Linked DNA regions of Xenopus tropicalis. The protein of the gene in region 1 interacts with the protein of each later gene in a pairwise test. Links are inferred from orthologs where the notes say so. Each region holds a gene or a part of one and is shown in the gene's direction. Other genes may lie near its edges. The genes, in order: vps52, aamp, mfap1, atp6v1d, golga1, rnf41 and ppp1r18.

Region 1 (2,300 bases):
TGATTTTGTCCTTGTACTGTTTAAAATGCCAGGAGTTTATTGAAGAGATACTCGCTCCATCATTTGGAGGAATGATTGCATTTGTCAAGGAGTCAGAATCTCTAATTGAGAAGGGACAGCAGGAACGACTCAGAAGTGAAGAGGGTACAGGATGTTTGTATTTTAACAAGTCTTACTATTTGTTTTTATTGTCACTCACTGCATAAAGTAACGGTCTGAATTTCTTGTAGCACGTGTTGCTCAGCTTGTACGGGGGTTCTCATCAACATGGAAACAAGCAGTGGAGAATCTGAGTCAGGATGTTATGAGGTCATTTACCAACTTTAAGAATGGAACTAGCATTATACAAGTAAGGGAATTAGGAAGGGCTATTTAAGAGAGACCTTTATTTGGGTTCTTCCTTTTATTCTAACTCTCTCCATTTTTACAGGGTGCATTAACACAGCTGATCCAGTATTATCACCGCTTCCATAAGATACTCTCCCAGCCGCCACTCAGGAATCTGCCTGTATGCTCAGAATTAATAAACCTGCATCACCTAATGGTTGAGCTCAAAAAACATAAGCCTAATTTCTGAACCCAAGAAGGTAGAAGTAGGAAGTATCATAAAACTGATTCTGTTACCTGTGTATATAACACTAATCTGAGATGCATCAAGTGATGTAAATTTCTTAACAATGAAAGAGCAAGTGCTTTTGCCTTGCTAAGTCAGTAAGATACCTGTACCAACAGGTAAACAGGTAGCTCCACCAAATGTTTGAGTTTAAATATATTTAATGGCATTCTCTTCCTATGCTTAACTATTGCTTGTAAAATCATGCCAGAACTAAATGTATGGGTAAAATAAAGTTTACTACTGGTAACAAATCTTGGATAAATATGTATAGTTTTATGTAGTCTCACAGCATGAAGAAAATGTATAATTTCCTGTGCAGTCATTTGAATGTTATTGCAGCTTATCCATTCCCCGGGGACAGTGAGGTGCTAATGAGCAATAGCTGAAACAGGCCTGTGCAGATTGAGAACACTAGCTTAGCTAGTAGAAAGTACAGGGGTAATACATTCTAAATGCATAGGGGTTTTAATGTAAAATGCCACAACTTAAAGGAAGATGCAGTTGCAAGTCCTTTGTGGACACGATAACACATTCGTTGTAAAGGAGTTATGTTCTTTACTAGAAGCAATAACAGACAAGGGTTCCAAAGTGCTATGGCTACATTTTTATACCTGTATATATATATCTACACACATCTTTGTTTTAAATTATCCACACAGTTTAAGCAAAAATAGATACAAACCAGTATTAAAAGCCACATTTACTAAAATGTTACAAAAGAAAACGTTGCTCTGTGTCAAGAGCAATTAACATACAATACAAAGATTTAGAGTTCCCTCCATCGCTTTCTATTAACATTTAAGTGCAAGTAAGGCTTAAGAGAAACATCTGAGACCCAATTATGTAGCTTATGTTTGAGATAGTTCCAATAAGCCTATAAAGACACCAGAGCACTCTCTCTGCCAGTCAATATGTATGTCACAAGAAAGTCTTGCAGGCTCTTTAAACACAGTATCTAAACGAAGGCTGTTTTACTACACTGGAATGTTACATGCATGTTATCCAATCCCCACTCTAATAATATATCTTTTAAAAGAGTAAGGAAGAGATCTAAAGTACTAGCCCTCCAACAGCTACCTGTATGGATGTCCATACTGAATGTCATTCTTTTAAAAGAGATTAAAGGACATGTCAACCCCAAAAATAATTTTTTGCTTAATTAAAGAAAACTTAATTCTTAGCAACTTTGCAATATACACGCATTACATATTTGCAATGGGTTTCTAGTTATTTGTATGTATATATATATTTGCTATTAAAAGAACTGTCTGCCTGTCCTTTCTATTATCTGCTCTGGTCGCTCTGGCATTTGAAACAATGTAACAAAACACCAGCAGATTTTACAGACCTGACTTGCTGGAGGAGCCCGGCACTTGCAACATTGTTTAAAAAGTAACAACCAGGAGTTCAGCAAATGCTGCTTTCTATAGAAATTACATTTACTAATAACTTTTAATAAGTTGATATTAAAAAGTTGCTTGGAATTATGTTTTCTTTTATTAGGCAAAAAAATTATTTTTTTAGTAGGAATACCCCTTGTTAAACATGGATGCAATGAATAGGGCTTAAGTTTAACATACTTTTTCTCTATTGTTTTTAATATGGTTTTTGCCCCCTGTTCTATACAGGATAACTGAAACTACTTGTTTGGTCCTTGTAAGGTAGCAGATTACCAGTGTAACAG
Region 2 (4,142 bases), on another chromosome or scaffold:
TCAGTACCAGCGCTTGGGGGCCAATAATCCCTGTCTCACACTGTATATAGTATGCTTGGGGTGTCAGTGCCCAGCGCTTGGGGGCCAATAATCCCTGTCTCACACTGTATATAGTATGCTTGGGGTGTCAGTACCAGCGCTTGGGGGCCAATAATCCCTGTCTCACACTGTATATAGTATGCTTGGGGTGTCAGTACCAGCGCTTGGGGGCCAATAATCCCTGTCTCACACTGTATATAGTATGCTTGGGGTGTCAGGGCCTAGCGCTTGGGGGCCAATAATCCCTGTCTCACACTGTATATAGTATGCTTGGGGTGTCAGGGCCTAGCGCTTGGGGGGCCACATTGTGCCATGAAATGTTGGGGGCCAATGGAACAAGAGAGGTGAAAGGGCGGGGTTACCCATCAGTCACAGAGTGAGAGACAGGGGCTATTTGCCCACCCAGCCCTGGAATCCTGTGGGGGGGGGGGGGGGGGGGGGGGGGCACCAAAACAGCCCCTATTGGAGGCCCCGCAGTTTATAAGACAGGGGAGGGGACTGAGGAGGGATGGGTGACTGGGTGACTGGGTGACTGGGTGACTGGGTGACTGGGTGACTGGGTGACTGGGTGACAGGAAGCCCTACCTTTCCAGCTGTGGTTGAACTACAACTCCCACCAACAGGAGGGCTGCAGGATACACATCCTTGTTATTAACATTAGGATTATAAAACAGTAAATTAAATATTATTTACCCCCGGGTCCCTATGAAGCTGGGAGCCTCTGCCCTACACTAAAGCAAACCCTGACCGGCTATGTCTGGAACCCACTGCCAATATCTGTCCAGTTAATAAACAACATTTCCCAGCATCCCCAGAGAGTGCCCCTTCCCTAAACAGGAAACAGGAAACCTTCAATCTTACCCCACGGCTTCCCTCTTCTCACTGACCCCAACATCCCTCTCACGGCCGCCGCCATATTGCCTGTTTGTAACCAGGCGCGTCACGGTTACATCCTGACAGGCGCAAGGCATTCTGGGTGTAGTAGTTCCCGCGCAGAATTTGACGTGTTAGAAAACTTCCATGTCCGGCATGCACTAGTACGCGCCTGCGCAGTAAGCCTTGTTTATGTTCTCCTTGCTGAGCGGTCACACTCCCATGCTAGGATACGCGGGGCACTGGATTGGCTTAGAGCCGCAGTGCTCACTTCCTATTGGCTGCGCGTCGCTGCTTTCCAGCAGCTGATGGAACAAGTTTGGTTGTGCGGAAGCGCAGGGCTGAGGAGGGGTTCCCACGTGTGTGTGAGACTTGGCCTGCCGGAGGGACCGCCTGCTGGAGGGAACGCCTGCTCTGGGGTATCGCTACGGTAACCGGTTGCAAAGTAAAGGTACAAAGTGTGACTGGTGGGCGTGTGTGGGGAAGTGTCGGAGGGCAGATCAGCTCCTTGGGGCCCTCCTTTCCCATCTGTGCCTTTTGCTTCCTACGGTCCAGGAAAGTGATGTTGGGGTGACTTTACTAAGTCCCTGAGGGCCCCTGGGCTACAGGTCTCCCCATTAAACAGCAATCCTGAGTATTCAGCCTAAAGGAACCAATGCAACAGATTATATACAGATTATATACAGATTATATACAGATTATATACAGATGTCCAATGGCTGTGTGTTATCTGTACATGTATTGGCCATTATGCACTGCTGGCTTCTGCTACATTGCTGCAGGAGTCACAACCAACAGTGCAGAGAAGATAAGCAGGCCGCTCTTTTAAATAGCAATTACAGTTACAAATTGTGTAATGAATTTATAGCTCTTTAAGTTTATTCCCCTTATGTACCCAGTGTGGGACTGGGACCCCAGGGCCCCACCAGGAAACCTTAGACCCTAGGCCTACTTTCCAAACTATTTTTCCTCCTTTCCTCACCCAACCTCTCTATTCTCCTAGTCTCCTTTATTTACATGCTAGCATCTATTCTTCCATCTATTTCCCCTCTATCTTCCCATTCAGAAATAGGGAATGGCCATGAAACAGGCCAAATGGGCAGGAGCAGGGGGGCCCACTGACACCTGGGCACCCCGGGAGTTTTCCTGGTATCCTGGTGGGCCAGTCCGACACTGTATGTACATGTATGTTCTCCAGATTTATTGCCAGAGAGACCTGCTACTGGCGCTGTTAGCTATTTAATAAATATTTCCCTTCAAGGCTGCTGTCTCCGCTGCTGATTGCTGTTATGCCAGCGTTGGTAAGGCTGTGCCCGTAACCCAGTGATATCTTGGGAACGGAGAGGGAGCCTTTAAAGGGAAAGATTTATTGCAAGTTAAGAGGAACTGTTCCTGAGTAGTGATTTCCCAGGATTTCTAATCTCCCCTGTAGAGATCACAGCATCGCCCTGTGTCCCAATCCTCAGAAGACGATGGAAGGAGCCGGAGCCGGGGAGGCTGGAGGTTCTGGGTCTCCCAGCCCTGAGGCCGAAGAAGCCCAGGCGCAAGCTGCACAGTTTCACGAGGATGAGGAGATCATTGAGGTGCTGGAGCTGAACGACGTAGAACCAGATCCAGGTATCTCTGATTGATTCGTATTCCTTGAAACCCCCCCTACGTATCCAGATACTGCGCAGAGTTCCAGCCGTGCCCATTATGTTTGGCATAGGCGCACAATTTTGGGTGAACCCTGTACCTTGTGACTTTTATATAAAGTAGTAGATGCACCAAATCCATTATTTTTGGGTTTGGCTGAATCCTTTTTGAAAGATTTGTCCAAATATCGTACCGAATCCTAAGCTGCAAGGATTTGGGTTTGGCCAGACACCTGCATTCGGCCAAATCAGAATCCTGCTGAAAAAGGCAGAATCTTTGCCAAAACCTGAACCAAATCCTGGATTCGCTGTCTCCTTAATATGAAGACACACAATGTATTGCACACTATTAATGCAAGCAACAAGGGTCTTTGGTTTCCTTTCTGTGTGGACCATACCATGCTCTTAGATTGGGAGAGGGGAATAAAGTGGTAACTATTAAACTATTTTTACAAATAGACTGGGCGTTATAAGAACCCCCAAGCCAGCTCCTGGTGTGTCTGGTTCTGACAACCCAGCTGTGACACTACATGGGCAAACGTATCTACACCTGCTTGTCCCACATTAAATTCCTAAACCAAGAGCATTAATATGAAGTTGCCCCTTTGCTGCTATAACTGCCCCTACCCTTCTGGGAAGGTTCCCACTAGATGTTGGAACAGTGTTGCTGGGAGTTGCTCCCATTCAGCCACAAGAGCATTAGTGAGGTTGGGCACTGATGTTGGGGATCAGGCTCACAGTCGGGGTTCCATTCCACAGGGGTTCAGTTGGGTTGCCCCTCCCCTTGCTGCTATAACTGCCCCTGCCCTTCTGGAAAGGTTCCCACTAGATGTTGGAACAGTGTTGCTGGGAGTTGCTCCCATTAGTGAGGTTGGGCAGTGATGTTGGGGATCAGGCTCACAGTTGGGGTTCCAATTCATCCCACAGGGGTTCAGTTGGGTTGCCCCTCCCATTGCTGCTATAACTGCCCCTGCCCTTCTGGGAAGGTTCCCACTAGATGGTGGAACAGTGTTGCTGGGAGTTGCTCCCATTCAGCCATAAGAGCGTTAGTGAGGTTGGGCAGTAATGTTGGGGATCAGGCCGGGCTCACAGTTTGGGTTCCAAATCAATTGGTTGAGGTCAGAGCTCTGTGCAGTCTGTGTCCTCCACTTGTCCGCAAACCCATTCTATATGGACCTGGCATTGTACATGGGGCATTATTGTTCTGAAACAGGAAAGATTATAATTCTATATGCAGGGTACATGCCTGACCCTTCTTGTAGAAATGTATATGTTGTTATGGAGAGGTTAATGCCCTGCTGACTGTCTGTCTTGCCCAGATGATTTGGCCAGCGACATGGAGGACGTCGACTTTGCAGATGATCCTGAAGATGGGGAAATGGCTGATAATGAGGAATGGGAGACAGAGGATGAGGGAGTGGAAGAAGGAACGGACCCCCATGACGACAGTGAGCTGACATTCTCCAAACATACAGGTGAGACCTGGCAGTGTCCTCTCAAGGGGCAAATAGAGTGCATTATAAGCCAACACAAGGGGGTGCCAATGGTGTATAAAGATAAGCCAAGTCTGTGCTTGTAGTATGACTTGGATCACAT
Region 3 (2,876 bases), on another chromosome or scaffold:
GTTTCCAAGGTTACAAATTAAAGGGGCAGTATCTGTTTTTTTTTTGGGAGGGGGTAGTCTCCCCTGCTCCCCTGCATTTTATCTCAGCATCTTTGCTCTTATTTTCTTGTGACCCACCTGCATTATGCAGCTGCAGGCTGAAAAAAAAATATCTTTAATGTATTTGGGACATTTAAAATTATAGCAACTGTGATTTTCCATATATGAAATGGCTCTCTGCTTGATGTTAAATACCAAAGGGCTTACAGTATGTTGCTGTAACCATTTCAGGAAAGACAGAGTTACTGTGCAGGAAAAAGAAGCTGAGGCGCTTAAACAGAAGGAGCTGGAGGCAGAGACAAAACGAATGGCAGAGGAGAGAAGGAAATACACCTTGAAGGTAAGTATTTGTCTTGATGCAGTGGTAGTTTTGTTAGAACTTTCTGCTTCCTCACTGCAATATTTCATGTACAGATTGTAGAGGAGGAAACAAAGAAGGAGATTGAAGAGAATAAGCGATCCCTGGCAGCCCTTGATGCCCTCAACACAGATGATGAGAATGATGAAGAGGAATATGAAGCCTGGAAAGTAAGAGAGTTAAAGCGCATCAAGCGAGACCGAGAAGAAAGAGAGGCGTAAGTATTTCTATCCCGACTCTATGGATAAAGTCATACTGTACGGCTCATTTACTGCTTGCCATGGTTTCTTTACACTTTGGATAATACTGATAACTTTCACAGTTTACCTGGACTTGTGTGCCTAAAGTTAAATGTTATTTTGTTTATGTGTCATGTAACAGGATGGAGAAGGAAAAGGCAGAGGTTGATCGTCTGCGTAACATGACAGATGAGGAAAGACGGGCAGAGCTGCGTGCAAACGGCAAAATAATAACCAACAAGGCACTGAAGGGGAAATACAAATTTCTGCAAAAATATTACCACAGAGGTGCATTCTTCATGGTAAGAACTATTTAACTAATTTACCCATTCTATATTCATTCCTGTGGGATTTTTAAAAGAGTAAATGTTAGAATTCACCATTTGATAAATTTGCTTCTAAAAATCTGATATTATGGAAATTGGTGAATTTTTCTGTGGTGAGCTCGGTACTCTCACATTTTGATAAATTTTGATGAATTTTACAGAAGCTTATTTTACAGAAAGCTTTGTCTTTTTTTTCCCCCCATAGGATGGAGATGAAGATGTATATAAAAGGGATTTCAGTGCACCCACCTTGGAGGATCATTTTAATAAGACTATATTGCCCAAGGTCATGCAGGTAATTGCAAGAATGTTGCCGTTTCTTACTTTTTTTTGCTCTGCCTGAATTCTAAAGTATTAGATTGATTCCCTGTTTTACTGGGCCACACAAAAATGTGTATTATCACAGTATAGGAGGGATACTGGATGTGATTAGGAAGGTGGTAGTGAACAATGAAGAGTTAGCAAAGTCTAAAACTGCCAGCCATCAGTAACACTGTTATAAAATATATGCAGGAGGGAAAACATTATGCATTCACCCCTTAATGTTTCCATTACATAAATACAATGGAATATTTTTCCAAAAGCAAGAAACTGAAGTGTTTGTTTTCTAGTGATTCTATATATAAAGCAAACAAAATTGCTTGGGAGATGTTAGTCAACTGGAAATTATGGAGCAAAATGGTTATAAATATTAAACTGTCCTTTTTTGTCAAAATTTTCATTTCCAGTAGCTGTGAAATCCTCTGCTAGTCCCCACACAATAGCCCAATATATCTTAAACATGTCCTTAATTTGCACTGGCTACAATTTACTTATGCCATTTATGTTGGGTTCATAGCATGGAAGATTTTAATCTGTGGTTTTCCAATCCAGTTCATAAATTGATATCATCTGTTTTATTCAGGTCAAGAATTTTGGACGTTCAGGTCGGACAAAATATACTCACTTGGTTGATCAGGACACCACTTCATTTGACTCTGCTTGGGGTCAGGACAATCCACAGAACACAAAGTTCTTCAAACAGAAGGCAGCAGGAGTAAGGGATGTGTTTGAGAGGCCGACTGTGCAGAAAAGAAAGACATAAATGTCCGTGTCTATGAGGGACTTGTCCATATTTTCTGGGTTATAAAAAGAACTGCAGCTCATAAACAAGGACCACCATTACTTGCACATACTCTGTATATATAATTTGCAAGTAATGTAATGTTTTTTTTTTTAATGTGTGAATGAATTGTTGGGTTTGTCATTAGCAAATCACAAAGCATTCTCCAAGCTGTGGAGAAACAGAGATTTTCACAGTTTTTTCAAAAATGTTATAAAAGGTATTTTTTAGTTAGAATCATTTTGACATTCAGGAACACTGAAACCGAGGCAAGATTTGATAATATTTGTAAATAAAAAAGTTACTCTGTCATATCTCCTAACGATTTTTGTATGCCCCTCTATCAATCCTGTGAAATAATTGTTTTGCTTGTACAGTAATGAAAGCCACTGGTCCATTTTCTCATGTCCAGCATTCAGCATCTTGTGTGGATTGGTCTGATGTACAGGTATCTGTCTATGCAAGACCTTTTATTGTCCCACATGCTATCTGCTGACTGGAAAGTAAGCACAGTACAAGTGACAAAGAGTTGCCTGGGTACGTAGTTTTATAATGAAAAGTGAATTTGGGTTGGCTTCATGCATTATAGTTACATGGTCAGTCATATACAGATCTGCTGTTAAACTTTTTGGGGCAAAATATCTGAAATTTTGAAAATCTTTCCACCCAGGCATATAGTCAATAATATTATTATTTATTTTTAACATTTATTTAAAACACGCCAACATATTCTGCAGTGCTGTACAATAAGTGGGTTTCATACATTGGACACACAGAGTAACATATAAAGCAATCATGAGTCCCTGTCTCAG
Region 4 (4,127 bases), about 47 Mb from region 1:
ACGTGGCGATTTCAGATCTTTTGGTCGCATGAAAGATCGTTCAATCGGCCACTAACGTTTTGGCCCTTATTTGGCTCCTCCGTGAACTTTTATGGTGCTTGTGTTGCTCTCCAAGTCTTTTTACATTTGACTGTGGCTCACGAGTAAGAAAGGTTGGGGACCCCTGTAATAGCCAGTTACTATTTATTGGGGATGTTTGGGCCTCTGTGTACTTCAAGTGCCAGCATCCACCAACTGCTGAGGGCTGCAGATTCAACAACAGCTGGCTGTCAGCAGGTTGAAAGCAATATAATCTGCACTGCTGGCTCTGACTCCTGAAACAATGTAGCACAAGCCAACAGGTAAACAAATCTAGAGGAGAACTGAATTCTGCTACAATGTTCCTACAGTCAGAACCAGAGAACAGTAAAGGCTAAACACTGCTTTAATTCCCGTTACATGTCCCAATAAGTTCAAGTTTCCTGACAATGTGCAATGAATGTAAACTAAGTTACTCAGAACATTATCTTTCATTATAGAAAACACACTTTCTTTTTTAAGGAGAATTCCCCTTTAACAAAGGCCCCAGCAGGGAGATGGTTCTGGGACAGCTAGAAGGCGAGATGTTACCCACCGTACATATACAGCAGCCATAGCACGTTTGTATAAGGGTGGGTAGATCGCTTTAACACGTTTTACAGGAATCTGCAGGGAATTCCCATCCAACTACAGTAGAACCACAACTCCCAGTGTCCCGCGCTAGCCTGTACAGATAGTTATAGAAGGGCGATTCCACGCCGCTAAAGCTCCACAGCAGAGCGGCCAAGGCGGCTATTAGAACAGATACATGAGTCGGAGCCTTACTTGGCTGATGTTCCCTACGATCAAACAGAACGTTGGCACCGGGCGGGCTCCTTCAGCTCACGCCGCACTATTTCATCAGCATGCGTTCCGGCAAAGAACAACACGCATGCGCAACCCCACAACTACAGCGCTGACACCGGAAGCGGAAGTCGGTGCTACCATTACGGGGTTAGGAGGTTACAGGGCGCCATATTGAAGATGGAACATTATCGCTTTAAAATGTTGTTTCGTGTAACTCATATCATATTAAAAAAGGAATACGAATAAAATATTCCGATGTGGGTGCAGAAACCCATAAAACGTCTGACAAGCTAATACAGTTCAAAACGCTCTTCGTGCGCAGGCGCAGCATTTTTCCGTCTGCTGCGGATCACATGACGAGAGATGTTCAGGTGACAGAACCACGCCCTCCCTTCCTGGATCACGTGACAATCTCTCGCTTTCTTGGTTCTGCCGCAGGAATCCGAGTGTCAGTGAGGGGAGAAGCAGATCGCAGGTCAAGATGTCGGGCAAGGACAGGATCGAGGTGTTCCCTTCCAGGATGTAAGTATGGTGATACGGTCAGATATACCCGTGATCGGGGGCTTGGGCATCTGCTGGCGTGGAATTCTGGGATCTGTAGTTCTGCAATAACTAGAGCCACAGATGTCCCTTGTTGGTTATAATCTTTTGGGGTATTTGTCAGTGGGGTTACAGGCAGGCAAATGGCTCATAGGGGTATGTGTTGATGGGGGGATCCCTGTAGTGTATAAAGATATATATAAAATAGATAGATAAATGTGTGTGTGTGATATTCACCCACTGGCTTGGGTTTAGGGTGGGATAGGAACAGATACTAGCAGCAAAGGCAAAGCATTCTGTGTAAGGGTTCAGCTGTTACCTGGGGCCCTTCAGCAACTCCCACTACCTTAATGGATATATAGATTGTAAGCTCTGCAGGGCAGGGACCTCCATCCTCTGTGTCTTTGACTCTTAACTTATTGCAACTGTATCTTGTATTTATCTGTATTTATTGTTATACTTTGTATTTATCTATTATTATTTTAATAACCCCGTTTGTATTAATGTATTCTACTGTACAGCGCTGCGTACATAAGTAGCACTTTATAAATAAAGATATACATACATGCAATGGCAGCTAAAGGCCATCAGTGGGATAGTGGGAGATGCAGTTCAGCAGAGGCCTGAGACATCCTAATTAATGATATACACCCTTTTCCATTTGGGGGGACCAGCACCCCTTGCCCCTGAGCGCCCAGCCATTGCTGCTAGTGAGCCCATGTTAGGCTGGGGGATATGGGAGCTGCTAGCCGGCTGCATAGTACTAGCCAAACCCATGCACTTGTGTCGGCTGGGGAGTGCGGCAGCCTCACTATATACGCACAGTTACACACTCACCCACACAGTTACACACTCACCCACACAGTTACACACTCACCCACACAGTTACACACTCACCCACACAGTTACACACTCACCCACACAGTTACACACTCACCCACACAGTTACACACTCACCCACACAGTTACACACTCACCCACACAGTTACACACTCACCCACACAGTTACACACTCACCCACACAGTTACACACTCACCCACACAGTTACACACTCACTCACACAGTTACACACTCACTCACACAGTTACACACTCACTCACACAGTTACACACTCACTCACACAGTTACACACTCACTCACACAGTTACACACTCACCCACACAGTTACACACTCACCCACACAGTTACACACTCACTCACACAGTTACACACTCACTCACACAGTTACACACTCACTCACACAGTTACACACTCACCCACACAGTTACACACTCACCCACACAGTTACACACTCACCCACACAGTTACACACTCACCCACACAGTTACACACTCACTCACACAGTTACACACTCACTCACACAGTTACACACTCACACAGTTACACACAGTTACACAGTTCACTTGCCTGTGTTTAGCCTGTACGTTCCCCTCCCTGCTCTGTGACTTCCTGAAACTTGTAGTTCCCTAATGGCAGGGAGAAGGTTGTGACTACACACACTGACCTTTCTGCTGATGAAAGGGGATACTGTAAATATGTCTGTGTATATATATATATTTTTTTTTCCTCTTCCCTATATACAGTTATTGCACATTTCCATTATTTCTCTCAGTCAGTCCTTTGCACTGCTGGTTCTGACTATTGAAACAAGCCACTCTTTTAATATATACTAATTCAGCGTCGCTGCTATATAGTCACATAACTAAAATTATATACAAGTAGGGAATCCCTTATCCGGAAACCTGTTATCCAGCCAGAAAGCTCTGAAATACAGAAAACCCGTCTCCCATAGACTCCATTTTAATCAAATAATTTCAAATTTTAAAACTGATTTTCTTTTTCTCTGTAATAATAAAACAGTACTTTGTAGTTGATCCCAACTAAGATATAATTAATCCTTATTGGATGCAAAACAATCCTATTGGGTTTAATTAATGTTTTAGTGATTTTTTGTAGACTTAAGTTATAGAGATTCAAATTACGGAAAGACCCCTTTTCCGGAATACAATTGGTCCTGAGCATTCTGGATAACGGGTCCTATACCTGTAGAATAAATAAGAGCCATGAATATCCTATGAACTACATCTATACAAACAGCGCTCAGTGGTGTCATTTCTGTCACACGACTCGCTGAAAGTTGTGTATTGTAATTAATAATGTACCCCCTCTTGTAAGATATGAGGATATTAGACGTCACCTCGGAGTTCCGTGACCTTAAAATATCCTTATGTTTGACAATACAGGGAGCTTTTATCACTATATAAATGCTATTTGTTGTTATTCAAGAGACAGAGACTCCTGCACTTTGGGGGGGAACTGCCCCCCCAGCCCCCACACATCATTATGTTCCTTGCCAGGAATGTGGCCAGTTTTGAGTTTTTGTCCGGGTGCTCAGTGTAAACAAGCGCTCTGTTTAGGCAACACTGCCTGGCAGCCAAGCAGGAATATACTGGCCCCGGGTTTGGTTCCAGCAAGGAAGGGATGGAGGGAACCGGTAGCAGTCACATTGGGACAAGGGAAAGTGTTTGGTTCACCTGGCTGCTGTGCTTTTCCATAGGCTGCAATAATAACCCCCCGCTGAGTATAACAATGGTGGCAATGCTATTGCTCTCTATGCAGAATGCCTCAGCTGAGCCAAGAAACATGGCAGCCCCCAGGCACAATGTAGGATGTTCATTTAGAAACATTTTGGCAGAGGTTCCTTATCCTGTGTGTGTGCAAA
Region 5 (4,201 bases), about 44 Mb from region 1:
AGCGACTGCTCTAAAGCTGGCCATGCATGCTAAGACAAACAAATCTCTCTGATATGCCCACTTCAGGCAAACTTGATTACAATGGGCTGTTTCAATTTCAATGAGCTGATGCCGTCTCCGATCCAATGGAAAAATCAAATCTGTCTGATCGACATCTGCCCGATTATTGCCAAAACATCAATCGGTGGGGTAACCTAACCTGAAGAATAAACATGGTCTTTATAGGACATATCAGAAAGAAGCCCTCCAGTTGTCCTTGTCTACTTCTAGCCAATGGTCCTGGCAATTCTTGTTCTTGATGGGCTAGTGGGGCAACCACCTGAGGCTGAATTTTTTGTGAAGGTGCATGCGATCCTATACCTAGTGCCTAGCTGAAGGACCACTTCCTAAGTGGGTTCAGGTCACAAAATGCTATTGTTGGTACAGGTTTAGCCTCAGCTTTTGCTATTGCCCGACCTGCCACTTTGAGAACATGCTTGTTACGTACTAGCAAGCCCTCGCTGTTAGTAATGTCAGTGGCAGACAGGCTTGGACTGGGATTCAAAATTGGCCCTGGCTTTTCAAGTACACAGAGGCCCAAACAGCCCCCAAGGCCCTTCTGGCATTTGCCAGAATCCACAGATTGCCAGTCTAGGACTGGTGGCGAGCCCCTTCCATTCCATGACATCACTTACAGGTTTTGGTTCAGTTCAAAGAAAGGTTCCTTGATCTTGGGCAGGTCAGGGTTGGGCACAGGTCATAGTTTTTGTGACCTGCATATCAGGGCTACATATCCAGTGCCACCCTAGGCATCGTACCTAAATGTGCCCCTCGTGTTGACATCACTTCCAAAGTGACGTCACTCCATTGCCTATAGTTGGCCTGTACCCCTCACCCCTAGGGATTTCAATTGGTTCGATCTGGTGGCTTGGGAGGTTTTTTATTCATTTATTTAAAAAAAAAATTGTATTATATAGGTGCCCAAGGGCTGCCCCCCTAAAGCCACCTGCCTGATCCCACACCAGTAACCCCACTTTTTGGGTATGTACCCACACATCACCAATCAGGAGGGTCTCCTAGTTACATTACATACACTTACAGCCCAAATTTATTACTGAAGGGAGTTGTGGCTATCTGACAACAAGAGCCACTGCCTCAATAGATGGTGAATGTTCCATAGGAGACTGTTATACACAAGTAAAGGTTATACTCCAGGGAATGTGAGCGAATGGATAATTATGGTACACAATGGTAGTGTTTGGGGAGAGTTGCAGCTCCAGCCACCATGAATAGGAACAATGTGACAGGGCTGTAACAGGCTTAGAGAACAATGTGACAAGGCTGTAACAGGCTCAGAGAGCACAGGGACGGGGGCGGGGCTTGTGCTGCTGCGGCATAGCTGAGGTGTCACTCACAGTTATGACCACTTCCTGTGGAAGAATGAAAGAACACGCCCAGCTCTCGTTTCAACCTAGCCACGGAGCAAATAGGATATCTTTTCAGCTGTGATGTTATAACATTTGTAAGAGGTAAAAATTTCCATTCTAACCCATTTTTTCCCTCCTAGGGCTCTGTACATTTAGAGAAAGGCGGCGTATAGTACTAGGAGACGAGGCATATTACGACCCCTTTGACAGAACTCTAATGTTACTAGGGAGATGCAAGCCAGTGGGATATTGTGATAGGAAACAAGCATAGGAAGGCATGCTGCCCCTTTCACAACTACTCTCTCCCCCCCATGTTCCATTTTTCTTGTATTTGCCCTTTGCCACTTTATACAGCACATAGGGGTAGTACAGTGGCCTGTGTTTGGTGCTACTAGAAACTGCAGTGGGTTTATTGGCAAGTTCTCCCCTGTGCTAAGTGGTACATCCCAGGATACCACATTTGACCTAAACAGCTGTTGTGACCAAGCCAACAGCTGCTGTCTGCCTTCTTCAACAACCCTCCAATTGGAATCCATCTCACCTGACATTATGGGCCACATCTGCTGAGCAGCGCTTGAAATGCTGGTATCATCATTAAAGAGGGACACTAATGGAATGTAACTGTTGTGGAGCTACAGCGATGGTGTATTTTTCAGTTTTGAAAGGTATGAGACAAACACTAATACGCTGACCTTGCAACAGCACCTGTCTGGTGTCCAGGATAACATACAGGTACTTTGAACCCTTTGCATGCTTCTGACCGCTGCATACTGGGAGTTGTAGTTCAGCAATGGCTAGAGAAACAGATCCATAAGGCTGTTCTTGGGTTGCAATGGTGAACTTAGCATAGAAACCTCTAAAGTCTTCCCTTTTGGGATCAGGCATTTACTTCTCTTACCACTGGCCTGAGAAAACAAGGCAATATTTCTGATGACAACACTTTTCTGATATTCTGAACTACCAATTTCTGGGCAAAGCCTTCTGGACCAAGTAGGCAGATTGTTGACCCATGTATGGGGCCCTCTGATGGGCCCGCCTGACATATATCTGGCCAAAATCATCCAGATCTTGATTGGCCAGCTGTAAAAATCTCATCAGGGTAAAGACCACATCGGCTTCTGGTTGCGGTCCTTGCAACGATGGCCCGCATTTTTGTTGCAATGATCTGGCAGCCAAGTCGGACCTCAAGGTGGGCATATCTGGGAAAGATCCACTCTTTTTATGAGATGAGGTGGACAATATCGGGCTGATCTAATTGTTTGACTCTCTTTTTGAATGTATAGCCAGCTTATGGCCATAGCATCCAATTAGAGTTTTTCTTTAAGCAGTTTTATCTAAGAAAACAGAGGCATTTGCTGTTGTTTGCTACTTAATTTAAAGGATAAAGAAAGATGAATTCTGAGGGGTGGTTCCAATATGCACTCCCCAGTAAATAACTAACTAAATAACTAACTAAGAGAGCACTATGCTTCCGTTTTATATACCATCCCCAGGTGTCCCTAGTTCCTGCCAGTAAGGTAGGATGGTAGTGCTCCACTTTCCAGTTTTAACTAAAAGGAGCACCAGCCTGGGGATAAAAAAAAAAAAAGGGACATCTAACATATTGGCTCTCCCCAATGAATCCATTTTTCTTTGTCTTTTAAAAATACCAATGGTTTGTGAATCTTTCTATTACATTGATTAATATCTCATCTCCCATTTATTATAATGTGAGCTGAATGTATATTTACTCTTTTTTGGTTTCCTTGCGAGGCAACTTCGGAAAGCTGAAGTAAATTACTACTGGCAGGAAAACATTTAGAGGAGATTACTCGCCACTGCTAGAGGAGATTAATCGCAGGGCAACTAATCTCTTTGTGTGTCACTGGCCATAGGCTAAGGACCCATGGAGAGAGTTGGTCACGATAGATCACTGCTACTGCGAGTGACTAACTGTTCCAAATGTGTTTCCACCAGTGACTCTTTCTGAAGTTGCGCAAGGTTTCCTTCTGCAGGCAACTTTGAGTGCCTTCGGAAAGCCAAAGTGATGCATTGCCCTTTCTACTGGCAACTCCTATTGTTGTCGGTGGAAAGGCATTTTGGAGTGGGTAGTCGCACGCGGTAGCAGCAATGTATTGTAGGCGACTAACTTTATGGGTCCCTAGCCTTAGTGTTGCATGCACAATACCCCGGTATTGATCTAGAGGGGCCATAGGCATCTGAATAACATCCAGGTATCATTTTTATATAGTGATCACAATATGGATAGTTACCCAGAATGAAAGAAGGCTAGCAGTGGATGCTGGTAATTGTAGTACAGTGATGAATGGCTATATGTTTGATTGGCATGGCTAGTGGTCCCTCTTTTTTGTTATTTGTGTTTGCAAATAATGATTGCTTGAAGCTTTCCATATTTCCCTGAAATGCTTTAAAGTTTGTGTGTAGTATATGCATTTGTTTCCGTCCAGTCACTCAATTTGTGTTACGAAATCCTAACAGCTGATCTGTCAGCCTTCCCCTTTATGATTTCAGTGGCTCGTTCCTGTTGGCTGGAAAGACTGTCATTTCTGTGTGTCAGAGCAGCCTGTGGGCCGTTCAGGCTTCCCTATGTAATGGATCTGAATTTCTGCTAACTCTAACGTATGAAAGATTAGATCAGTCATGTTTCACTGCGAGGCACCTTGGTATCAGTTCCTGTTGTTGTTCTTGAGGGATCATTAGGACATGTTGCCCCTGCAATGCTTTAGGGCTCTGGCACACGGGGAGATTAGTCGCCCACGACAAATCTCCCTGTTCACGGGCGACTAATCTCCCCG
Region 6 (3,500 bases), on another chromosome or scaffold:
CAACCTGCATGGTTACGTTTCTTGGCAGGGTGTAGTGATATGGTACAGGTATAGGATCTGTTATCCAGAAAGCTCTGAATTGTGAGAAGGCAATATCCTGTAGGTTCCATTTTAAGGAAATGATTCTTATTTTTAAAATCGATTTTCTTTTTCTCTGTAGAAATAAAACAATGCCTTGTACTTGATCCAAACTAAGCTGCATAAATCCATATTGGTGGCAAAACAATTCTATTGATTTTATTCAATGTTTAGATAATTTTTAGCAGATTTAAGGTCTTGTGATCCAAATAAGGATTCCTTTATCCCTTATCTGTAAAGCCTTAGGTCTTGATCATTTTGGATAATAGATATACCTATATCTGTGTTTCCCTCATCTGGAGTGTAGGTGCCCTAAATAGAATGCTGTGACATGGACCTTTACACATGTACGTTTTACCCTGCATTCTGCCGAAGAAGAGTGCAGGAAAATACACAGCCCATTCTTCCCTGTCAGACTGTACTCATTCAGGCACGTGCAAGCACAGAGCGCAGATGGAATGCAACATGATGGCTGTGTGTAAAAGCCCTAAATGCTTTCTGGATAATGGGCTTCCTAAAGGTAGATTCCAAACCTATACAATCATACATGCATTCCTTCATCCACTACTCCTGTCATGAATTTGAATCTTAAAATTGAAGCAAAGCAAAAAATCAGGAATTTAGCTTGTGCTGCTTCAGGCGTTGTAACTGGCTGTTTTTCCCTTGTGCTGTGCATGCTTTCATGGTCCCTCCTCCCTACTGGAGCTTGACATCTGGTCTCCTAGATATCTGGCAGGAGTTGCCTATCAGAGGCATGTCCAATTGAATTCGATCTGGTCCTGACTTCAACTGTGCATTCTCCTGGTCAGCAACTGGAGGGATATGAAGTCAAGTGGCTGGACATGGCAGCCACCAAACCTGGGTGCTATCTAGGTATCCATCTATCGTCTGTTCTATTCAACCCAAATTTAAATCTTGACACTGCTGTTTTATACAGTAGGGGTGTTACAATATCCCTTCTTGTCCTTGGTGAATATGCTGATTTCAAAAGTTGAACGAAAGCCAGTGCTAGAGACAGAAGGTCCAAGTCTAAACAAAACACTATTTAAAAAAAAAAAAAAAAAAAAAAAGCTGTATTATAAATATTTCTCTTTATTGGCTGATGATATGCTTGTGCATGCAGCCCTTCACCAGAAATAAATAATCTGTACGCTAAGTAACAGATCAGCGTCTGGGAGTGTTCTGCAATTCTGCCAAGTGGGCACTTTAATGCCCCTGTGGGATATGTAAGTGCCGGTCACATGAACCAGCCTGCTTTCCTAATGCTTCTACTCTGCTTGTCTTGCACTGTCCCTAGATCTCATTCTGTCTTCCCTCCTCCAAGAGCCAGGGAAACTTGTTCCGTTGAGCTTCTACTTTCCAAGGTAACACTAAAATGTGAATCAAGCAGTGTAGATCCTGTGCTTGGACAATTCTACTTGTATTCTAGTGTAGCTGCAGTTTGTGCACTTGTTGCCAACTCAGTAAGCCGTATATGTACCTCTGTAACTCTTATGTTTCTTTAAGGACATTTATTGTCTGCCTCCTCTGCCACAAGGTGAATTATGAGAGGTTTGCTGATAGTCCACTTCCTAGACCTTAATCCCTGCTGCCACCATGCTACCTTTATCTGTTGCTGAACTACAGTTTATTGAGGGTTTGTTACGCTATTTCCCTGTGTACCTTTTTATTTGCCAATTTAATCTTGTCTGTTATGCCAAGATAGTATATTAGCTTATATTATTTTTTTTTTTCATTTCTATTTTATTGTTTTGAGTGTTTTTTTTTTTTAACTATTTGTATGAATAGTTTATCATTTGTAAAATTAGCTTAAACTAAGTTTATATGTAGACCAGCTACTAACATGACCAATGCTAGACCATTTATATACGATGACAAATGTATGCTATGTTAAGGGATTTGGAATACTAAACCTTTTTTTAGGCTTTTGCTTTTGCTATTTATTTTTTTACTTATCATATATTTGTGTTGATTGAAGCTTTTTAGTTTACATAACGTTATAGTCAGTTGGTAGGGAAACTAAACACAGCATATGAAGTCATTTATTGTGCCTTCAAGTACAATGGAAGCTCTGGGGTACAAGTTTTTTAGGTACCGAGTAACTTTAATCACTAACTTTAATCACTAACTCCATACCCAGGGCCACCTTTCCACGTCTTCAAAAATTGCTGCCTGGTGAATTTTATGGTAGGGTGGGCAGCCACCTTCTTTCCAAAACTTTCCCAAATGTTTGTGCACATGTGCCATGCCTGACCTGGTGTAGAGAATTGCTGTGAATAAGCTGGCTCCCCACCGCCATAAACTGCCCTGACTAGTGCACCAATGAGTTACTGAAGGGGGTTTAACAAGTTATTTTCCCTCCAGTGACTTTACCTTTCTTTGTCTTTTGTGTACTTGTAATCTGTATGTTTGATGTATTTGCACTTATATTGTATCACCCAGGGATGTGTAATATTCTACAAGTGCTACAACTCATACCACTAACAGAGAGTGGTTCATTGTAGGACAGTCAGGGCAGCCTTGCTCTTCAAGGAATAGAAAGTAAGACTTCGGTATTGCAGGTCATTTTCTACATTGTCATTTTATGTACAGGTATGAGACCTGTTATCCAGAATGCTTGGGGCCTGGGGATTTCTGGATAAGGACTCTTTCTGTAATTCAGATCTCTATACCTTAAGTCTACTGAAAAATGATTTGAACATCAGAACCACAATTTGATTGTTTTGTATCCAATAAGGATTAGTTTTATCTTTTGTTTGGATCAAATACAAGGCACTGTTTTATTACAAAGAAAAGGAAATAATTTTTTTTAATTTGATTAAAATGGAGTCTATGGGAGATTGCTTTCCCATAATATGGAGCTTTCTGGGTAACGGGTTTCTGGGTAACTGATCTCATACCTGTATGTAGTTAGTAAGATGACCATATATTAAGTATATGTAGTTGGTAAGATGGTATGTCAGAGGTAAGTGTTGGGTGATAGATTTATTGTCCTATGTTCTTTAATTATGGTAATGTGTTGTGTTGTTCATTATATCTACCTTATAAGGCCACAAACTTATTCCTAAAAATCTTTTGTAAATGTGGATTATATTGTATCCAAACTCATTTGCTTTTAAACAAGATATACTTATTTATGCATGTCTTCAACTTGCAGGCTCCTCACTGCGAGCACGCATTCTGCAATGCTTGCATTACCCAGTGGTTCTCTCAGCAACAAACCTGTCCTGTCGACCGCAGTGTTGTGACTGTCGCCCATTTACGACCAGTTCCCCGCATCATGCGGAATATGCTATCAAAGTTGCAAATTACATGTGACAACGCAGTTTTTGGCTGTACCACCATTGTGCGACTTGACAACCTCATGTCTCACCTTAGTGACTGTGAACATAATCCAAAGCGACCGGTGACATGTGAGCAGG
Region 7 (4,152 bases), about 3.5 Mb from region 1:
TGGCAAAGTAATGTCCAACTTGGCACTTATTCATTGAGTGCTGTAAAGTCGAGCATCAAATGTCCTACATACAAGGACACTGCTACCGTCGGGCAAGGTGAGAATCTTGACTCGGGTGGCAGTTGCCCTGCACCAGGGCTGGCAAAAAAAATTTGCTCCTGGTATCTTTAAGAGCTGAAATTCTGGTTATTAAAGGAATACTGTCATGATTTTTATGGTGTACTTTTTATTTCTAAATTACACTGTTTACATAGCGCATAATCCACTCTTACCAGTTAAAATTTTATTCTTGAACCAACAAATGTTTTGGGGTTTTTTTTTATTGTAATATTGATGTGTAGGCAGCCATCTCAGTGCATTGTGCCGGAGTCTGAGCTTTTAGAAGGAGCCAGTGCTACACATTAGAACTGCTTTCAGGTAACCTATTGTTTCTTTTACTCCCATGTAACTGGAGGAGTCTCAAGCTGGACTTGGATTTCTTACTATTGAGTGTTATTCTGATATCTACTGGGAGCTGCTATCTTGCTACCTTCCCATTGTTCTGATGATCAGCTGCTGGGAGTGGGATGATATCACTCCAAGTTGCAGCTCAGCTGTAAAGTGTGACCGAAGTTTATCAGTGCACAGGTCACATGGCTGTAGCACCCTGGGAAATTAAGAATATGGCTAGCCCCATGTGAAATTTTAAAATTAAATATAAAAAAAAAAATCCTGTATTTTTAAAAAATGGATTACAATGCAGGATTCAGCTGGAGAAGTTTCATTAACATGCATTTTGAAAAAAAAAAACATGGTTCCTCATGACAGCATTTCTTTAAACTACAAATTTGGCTTAATTCTAGTATAGAGTGCGGTTGTGCCAGTTGGACAGCACTGATGTACACAATGCCTATTGATCTGGTTAAGGGAAGAGTACTGCAGCTAATAGCAATGACCATAGCTTTATCTATATCTATACACAGGAATGTTAACTGGCTCCTTTATAAAACTGATCATAGTGTGTGTGAATGTGATAGGGACCCTAGATTGTAAGCTTCAAAAGGGGCAGGGCCTGATGCAAAAGTATATAATATAGTATGTAATCTCTGTAAAGTACAAGTATGGGACCTGTTATACAGAATGCTCGTAGTTTTCCAGATAAGAGATCTTTCCACAATTTAGATTTCCATACCTTAAATCGACTAAAAAAGGTACTTGTATTGATTGTATTGTGTCCAATAAGAATTAATTATATCTTAGTTGGGATGAAGTACAAGGTACTGTTTTATTACTACAGAGAAAAAGGAAATCATTTAAAAAAAAAATAGAATTATTTTCTTATAATGGAGTCTATGGGTGGTGGGCTTCCTGTATTTCAGAACTTTCAAAATAAAAAGATTTCCAAATATCGCATTCCATAAATGTACTGCAAAATAGGTCAGCGCTATATAACTACAGGATAAAAATACTTGGAGTAAGAAGTATGTTCAGATTGTGATGGATTATATTTTCCCTAAATAGGATTGCTAAAAACCTTGTAGCATGGCGCACAAGCCCAAATGCATTATGCTGAATGATCAGGTTATACACAAAATAAATGCCAATGGCTAAGGCTATGATCACATGTAGCTGTTTTTTGGGCTGCATACTGGGTCAGACTGGGTTGTGCAGGGCCCATTAGTTTGCCGCCCCAGGGGCCTCAGCAGTGGCCTCCACACCCCCTCCAGGGGCACCACAGACCAACTCCATCCCTCCCAAGTGTGCTTACATTATACCTCAACACGATCAGGGAAAGGAGATCATGTCTGGGTCGTGGAAGCCCACAGAGTTAGTCCAACTCTGGCTGCATATAAATGCAGATGCAAGTAGCAGCTCAACCACTCAAATCAGCCTGGTCTGGTATCTGTGCTAATAAGCACTGCTTCAGCCTGTGTACAGTCACAGAGCAGATTTCAGTGTGAAAATGCATATTGACACTTTTCTGTGCTGAAATTCACTTTGTGTGCAGGTGAGTGGTTCATCTGTTTCTTGGCCTGCATTTATACACAGACCAAAAACCAGCTTTGTGTAACTGTTGCCTATGGTTCAGTTTCTTATACTTTGTGTGGCTTTCTAGTGTTCAGTCTGTAAATTCACCCTAACCACGCATAACTGAAGCACTCTGCATTAAGTTTTACATATGTATTGTATTGTGTTGTGTCCGTCCATATAAATAGTATAAAATATAATACATGAGGTAGCTCTTATTTCATGCACAATTTGCCTTAGTAGTATGTTATTAAACTCAAAACAAACATCCAAAAAGCTAAAACTTCTTACTGTTTAGGATATTTATGTTAAAGCATAAATAATCTGTCATGTGCTGTTGCTTAGTATTTTTTTCCATTAGTCCCATCCTGTCCCCCACTGTTGTGTGTACGTTGTACTGATTTAGTATCTTGAGTATAAAAAATACAGAATGTCTGTGTGTGTCTTGTAGTGGATATTTAAGAGCAGTCTTTGCTTTTTTTCACAATAGGGCATTAAAATGATTTTTTAAAAACTAAAAATCCCAGCATTTTCTTAAAACAAAGCCCATTTGCCTTACCGATGTCAATAGAAAAAAGTACAGTGCTATGTAAGGGTTAACTTGTCTGTAGTATCTCCCCCCACCATCCTTCCTCTCTCCACCCTCCCCCTTTACTCTTAGCATTATGCATAGCTGGAACCTCACCCTCCACCCCCCTCTCTCCTTCTGTCTGATTCAATCCCTTCTTCCTACACACCCTTCTCTTTCACTCTCTGGGAATTCCTCTCCAATGCAAAGGTTGCCCAAGCTATAAGTCCCTAGTCTTTACATTGTACATCTGTATTTGCTTTAAGGGTCTGAAGGAATTGGGCTCACTTGAAGACGTGTGACGCTTTGGGACTTTCCACAGAGAAACGCTACATATTCTTATGTTTTTGGGTTTAAGTTTAACAAAGGAAACTGCTCCAGACATCAGTTCACTTCTCCTAACATCAAGGCATCCTGCTGGGCTATAGGATGTATTAGAGGGGATTGTGCCTGCTTACTCACAATAAAGGTATGTAACATATCTGACTATATCCTGTGGGTTTCTGCATGTCATTTCATATGTGCATACAAGTACAATGAGATCACTTTTGCGCACTCTCACTTCATATCTTCCACCAACTTGTCCTCTATTCTATTTCTTTGGTGCCACTATAAAGTGTGATTCCCACTCTAGTAAGTATTTTTTGAGAGAAGAACATACTCTGATTTACCTTTTGTTTAAATCCTCACCAATCGCTACAACACAGGTTATGCAGTATATTTTCATACTTTAGTGTTATTTGTGCGATAATATACAGTCTCCTACATACATACATAGACAAACAAATATATAGACTTAACATCCTTCTCACTGTTTAAATCTATTTTACTCGGTGCATAGAAAGTACTGCTGTGTATGCAGCTGCCTATTTTTTTGCTTTTGTCTTTACCTTCCATGAATCTCCTAAACCTTAGCGATGTACATCTCCTCCGTTTTCTGTAGAACTGTCAGTGCATCTCCCTCTTTCCTGTTTGCCCACTCATCTCTTGCAGGCATGTCTGAATTATTTGTATCTAGTTCTCCTATTTTGCTTTTTCTCCCTTTTCAGAATGTATGTTTTACATTTCTTTGTCTGGTTCAGCAGTATGGCTATCTGTCAGTCTAGACAATTCCATCCTCCTCATTTTAATTTGGTTGCTCCAATTGTTCCACAGATCTGTATCTGAAGAGTTTCCCAACTTGAAGACCAGACAATTATAATCTGTAAGATTTTGTTTGTACCATGAGAAAAACAGATGTATAAAGGTTGATACTAAACAGTTTTAAATTTTAATTCAAAATTGTAATGCCTTATACTGAAAATACTTTCAGAACCTTAGTTACATTATCTAGACCCTTATTTTGTATAAAACATTGCAGAATTGTTTTGTCCATACATTTAATTAAGCCCTCTAACAGTGTATTTCAGCCTTTTCTTACCCCCATGCTTATTTCTCTTTTTATTCTGCGTATCCTCTTTCTCTTCCTCTTTCTCTTCCTCTCTAATGAACTCTACACATGCTTCTTTATATGTCATTTGACTTTTTAAGTGTAACTTTCTTTTTTAGCTGTATGAAATTATTTTCCTGTCATTACT

The links.
Region 2: the proteins of vps52 (region 1) and aamp interact in a two-hybrid assay, tested with the Homo sapiens proteins (2 studies listed by BioGRID and IntAct). The link is inferred for Xenopus tropicalis from reciprocal best matches to the Homo sapiens genes VPS52 and AAMP.
Region 3: the proteins of vps52 (region 1) and mfap1 interact in binary tests that used the Homo sapiens proteins (3 or more experiments, as listed by UniProt). The two-hybrid records come from large-scale screens. The link is inferred for Xenopus tropicalis from reciprocal best matches to the Homo sapiens genes VPS52 and MFAP1.
Region 4: the proteins of vps52 (region 1) and atp6v1d interact in binary tests that used the Homo sapiens proteins (3 or more experiments, as listed by UniProt). The two-hybrid records come from large-scale screens. The link is inferred for Xenopus tropicalis from reciprocal best matches to the Homo sapiens genes VPS52 and ATP6V1D.
Region 5: the proteins of vps52 (region 1) and golga1 interact in binary tests that used the Homo sapiens proteins (3 or more experiments, as listed by UniProt). The two-hybrid records come from large-scale screens. The link is inferred for Xenopus tropicalis from reciprocal best matches to the Homo sapiens genes VPS52 and GOLGA1.
Region 6: the proteins of vps52 (region 1) and rnf41 interact in binary tests that used the Homo sapiens proteins (3 or more experiments, as listed by UniProt). The link is inferred for Xenopus tropicalis from reciprocal best matches to the Homo sapiens genes VPS52 and RNF41.
Region 7: the proteins of vps52 (region 1) and ppp1r18 interact in binary tests that used the Homo sapiens proteins (3 or more experiments, as listed by UniProt). The two-hybrid records come from large-scale screens. The link is inferred for Xenopus tropicalis from reciprocal best matches to the Homo sapiens genes VPS52 and PPP1R18.

The regions. Positions count from the first base shown.
Region 1 is NC_030684.2:72,052,502-72,054,801, reverse strand, and holds the end of vps52 (vacuolar protein sorting-associated protein 52 homolog), read left to right. Parts: intron 1-32; coding exon 33-144; intron 145-230; coding exon 231-349; intron 350-430; coding exon 431-577; 3' UTR 578-1,800; downstream 1,801-2,300. UniProt on the Homo sapiens protein: Acts as a component of the GARP complex that is involved in retrograde transport from early and late endosomes to the trans-Golgi network (TGN).
Region 2 is NC_030685.2:85,162,780-85,166,921, forward strand, and holds the start of aamp (angio-associated migratory cell protein), read left to right. Parts: upstream 1-1,342; 5' UTR 1,343-1,363; intron 1,364-2,344; 5' UTR 2,345-2,384; coding exon 2,385-2,529; intron 2,530-3,865; coding exon 3,866-4,021; intron 4,022-4,142. Other genes in the region: uncharacterized protein LOC100488277, read right to left, coding at 901-955. UniProt on the Homo sapiens protein: Plays a role in angiogenesis and cell migration. In smooth muscle cell migration, may act through the RhoA pathway.
Region 3 is NC_030679.2:107,681,155-107,684,030, reverse strand, and holds the end of mfap1 (microfibrillar-associated protein 1), read left to right. Parts: intron 1-270; coding exon 271-379; intron 380-453; coding exon 454-614; intron 615-778; coding exon 779-938; intron 939-1,167; coding exon 1,168-1,257; intron 1,258-1,866; coding exon 1,867-2,046; 3' UTR 2,047-2,376; downstream 2,377-2,876. UniProt on the Homo sapiens protein: Involved in pre-mRNA splicing as a component of the spliceosome.
Region 4 is NC_030684.2:119,233,308-119,237,434, forward strand, and holds the start of atp6v1d (V-type proton ATPase subunit D), read left to right. Parts: upstream 1-1,327; 5' UTR 1,328-1,345; coding exon 1,346-1,386; intron 1,387-4,127. UniProt on the Homo sapiens protein: Subunit of the V1 complex of vacuolar(H+)-ATPase (V-ATPase), a multisubunit enzyme composed of a peripheral complex (V1) that hydrolyzes ATP and a membrane integral complex (V0) that translocates protons.
Region 5 is NC_030684.2:28,208,733-28,212,933, forward strand, and holds the start of golga1 (golgin subfamily A member 1), read left to right. Parts: upstream 1-1,401; 5' UTR 1,402-1,508; intron 1,509-1,547; exon of another isoform or gene 1,548-2,071; intron 2,072-2,119; exon of another isoform or gene 2,120-2,138; intron 2,139-4,201. UniProt on the Homo sapiens protein: Involved in vesicular trafficking at the Golgi apparatus level. Involved in endosome-to-Golgi trafficking. Mechanistically, captures transport vesicles arriving from endosomes via the protein TBC1D23.
Region 6 is NC_030678.2:137,450,486-137,453,985, forward strand, and holds part of rnf41 (E3 ubiquitin-protein ligase NRDP1), read left to right. Parts: intron 1-385; exon of another isoform or gene 386-583; coding exon of another isoform or gene 584-598; intron 599-1,608; exon of another isoform or gene 1,609-1,714; intron 1,715-3,235; coding exon 3,236-3,500. UniProt on the Homo sapiens protein: Acts as E3 ubiquitin-protein ligase and regulates the degradation of target proteins. Polyubiquitinates MYD88. Negatively regulates MYD88-dependent production of pro-inflammatory cytokines.
Region 7 is NC_030684.2:75,522,123-75,526,274, reverse strand, and holds the start of ppp1r18 (phostensin), read left to right. Parts: upstream 1-1,352; 5' UTR 1,353-3,044; intron 3,045-3,086; exon of another isoform or gene 3,087-3,208; intron 3,209-3,730; exon of another isoform or gene 3,731-3,779; intron 3,780-4,152.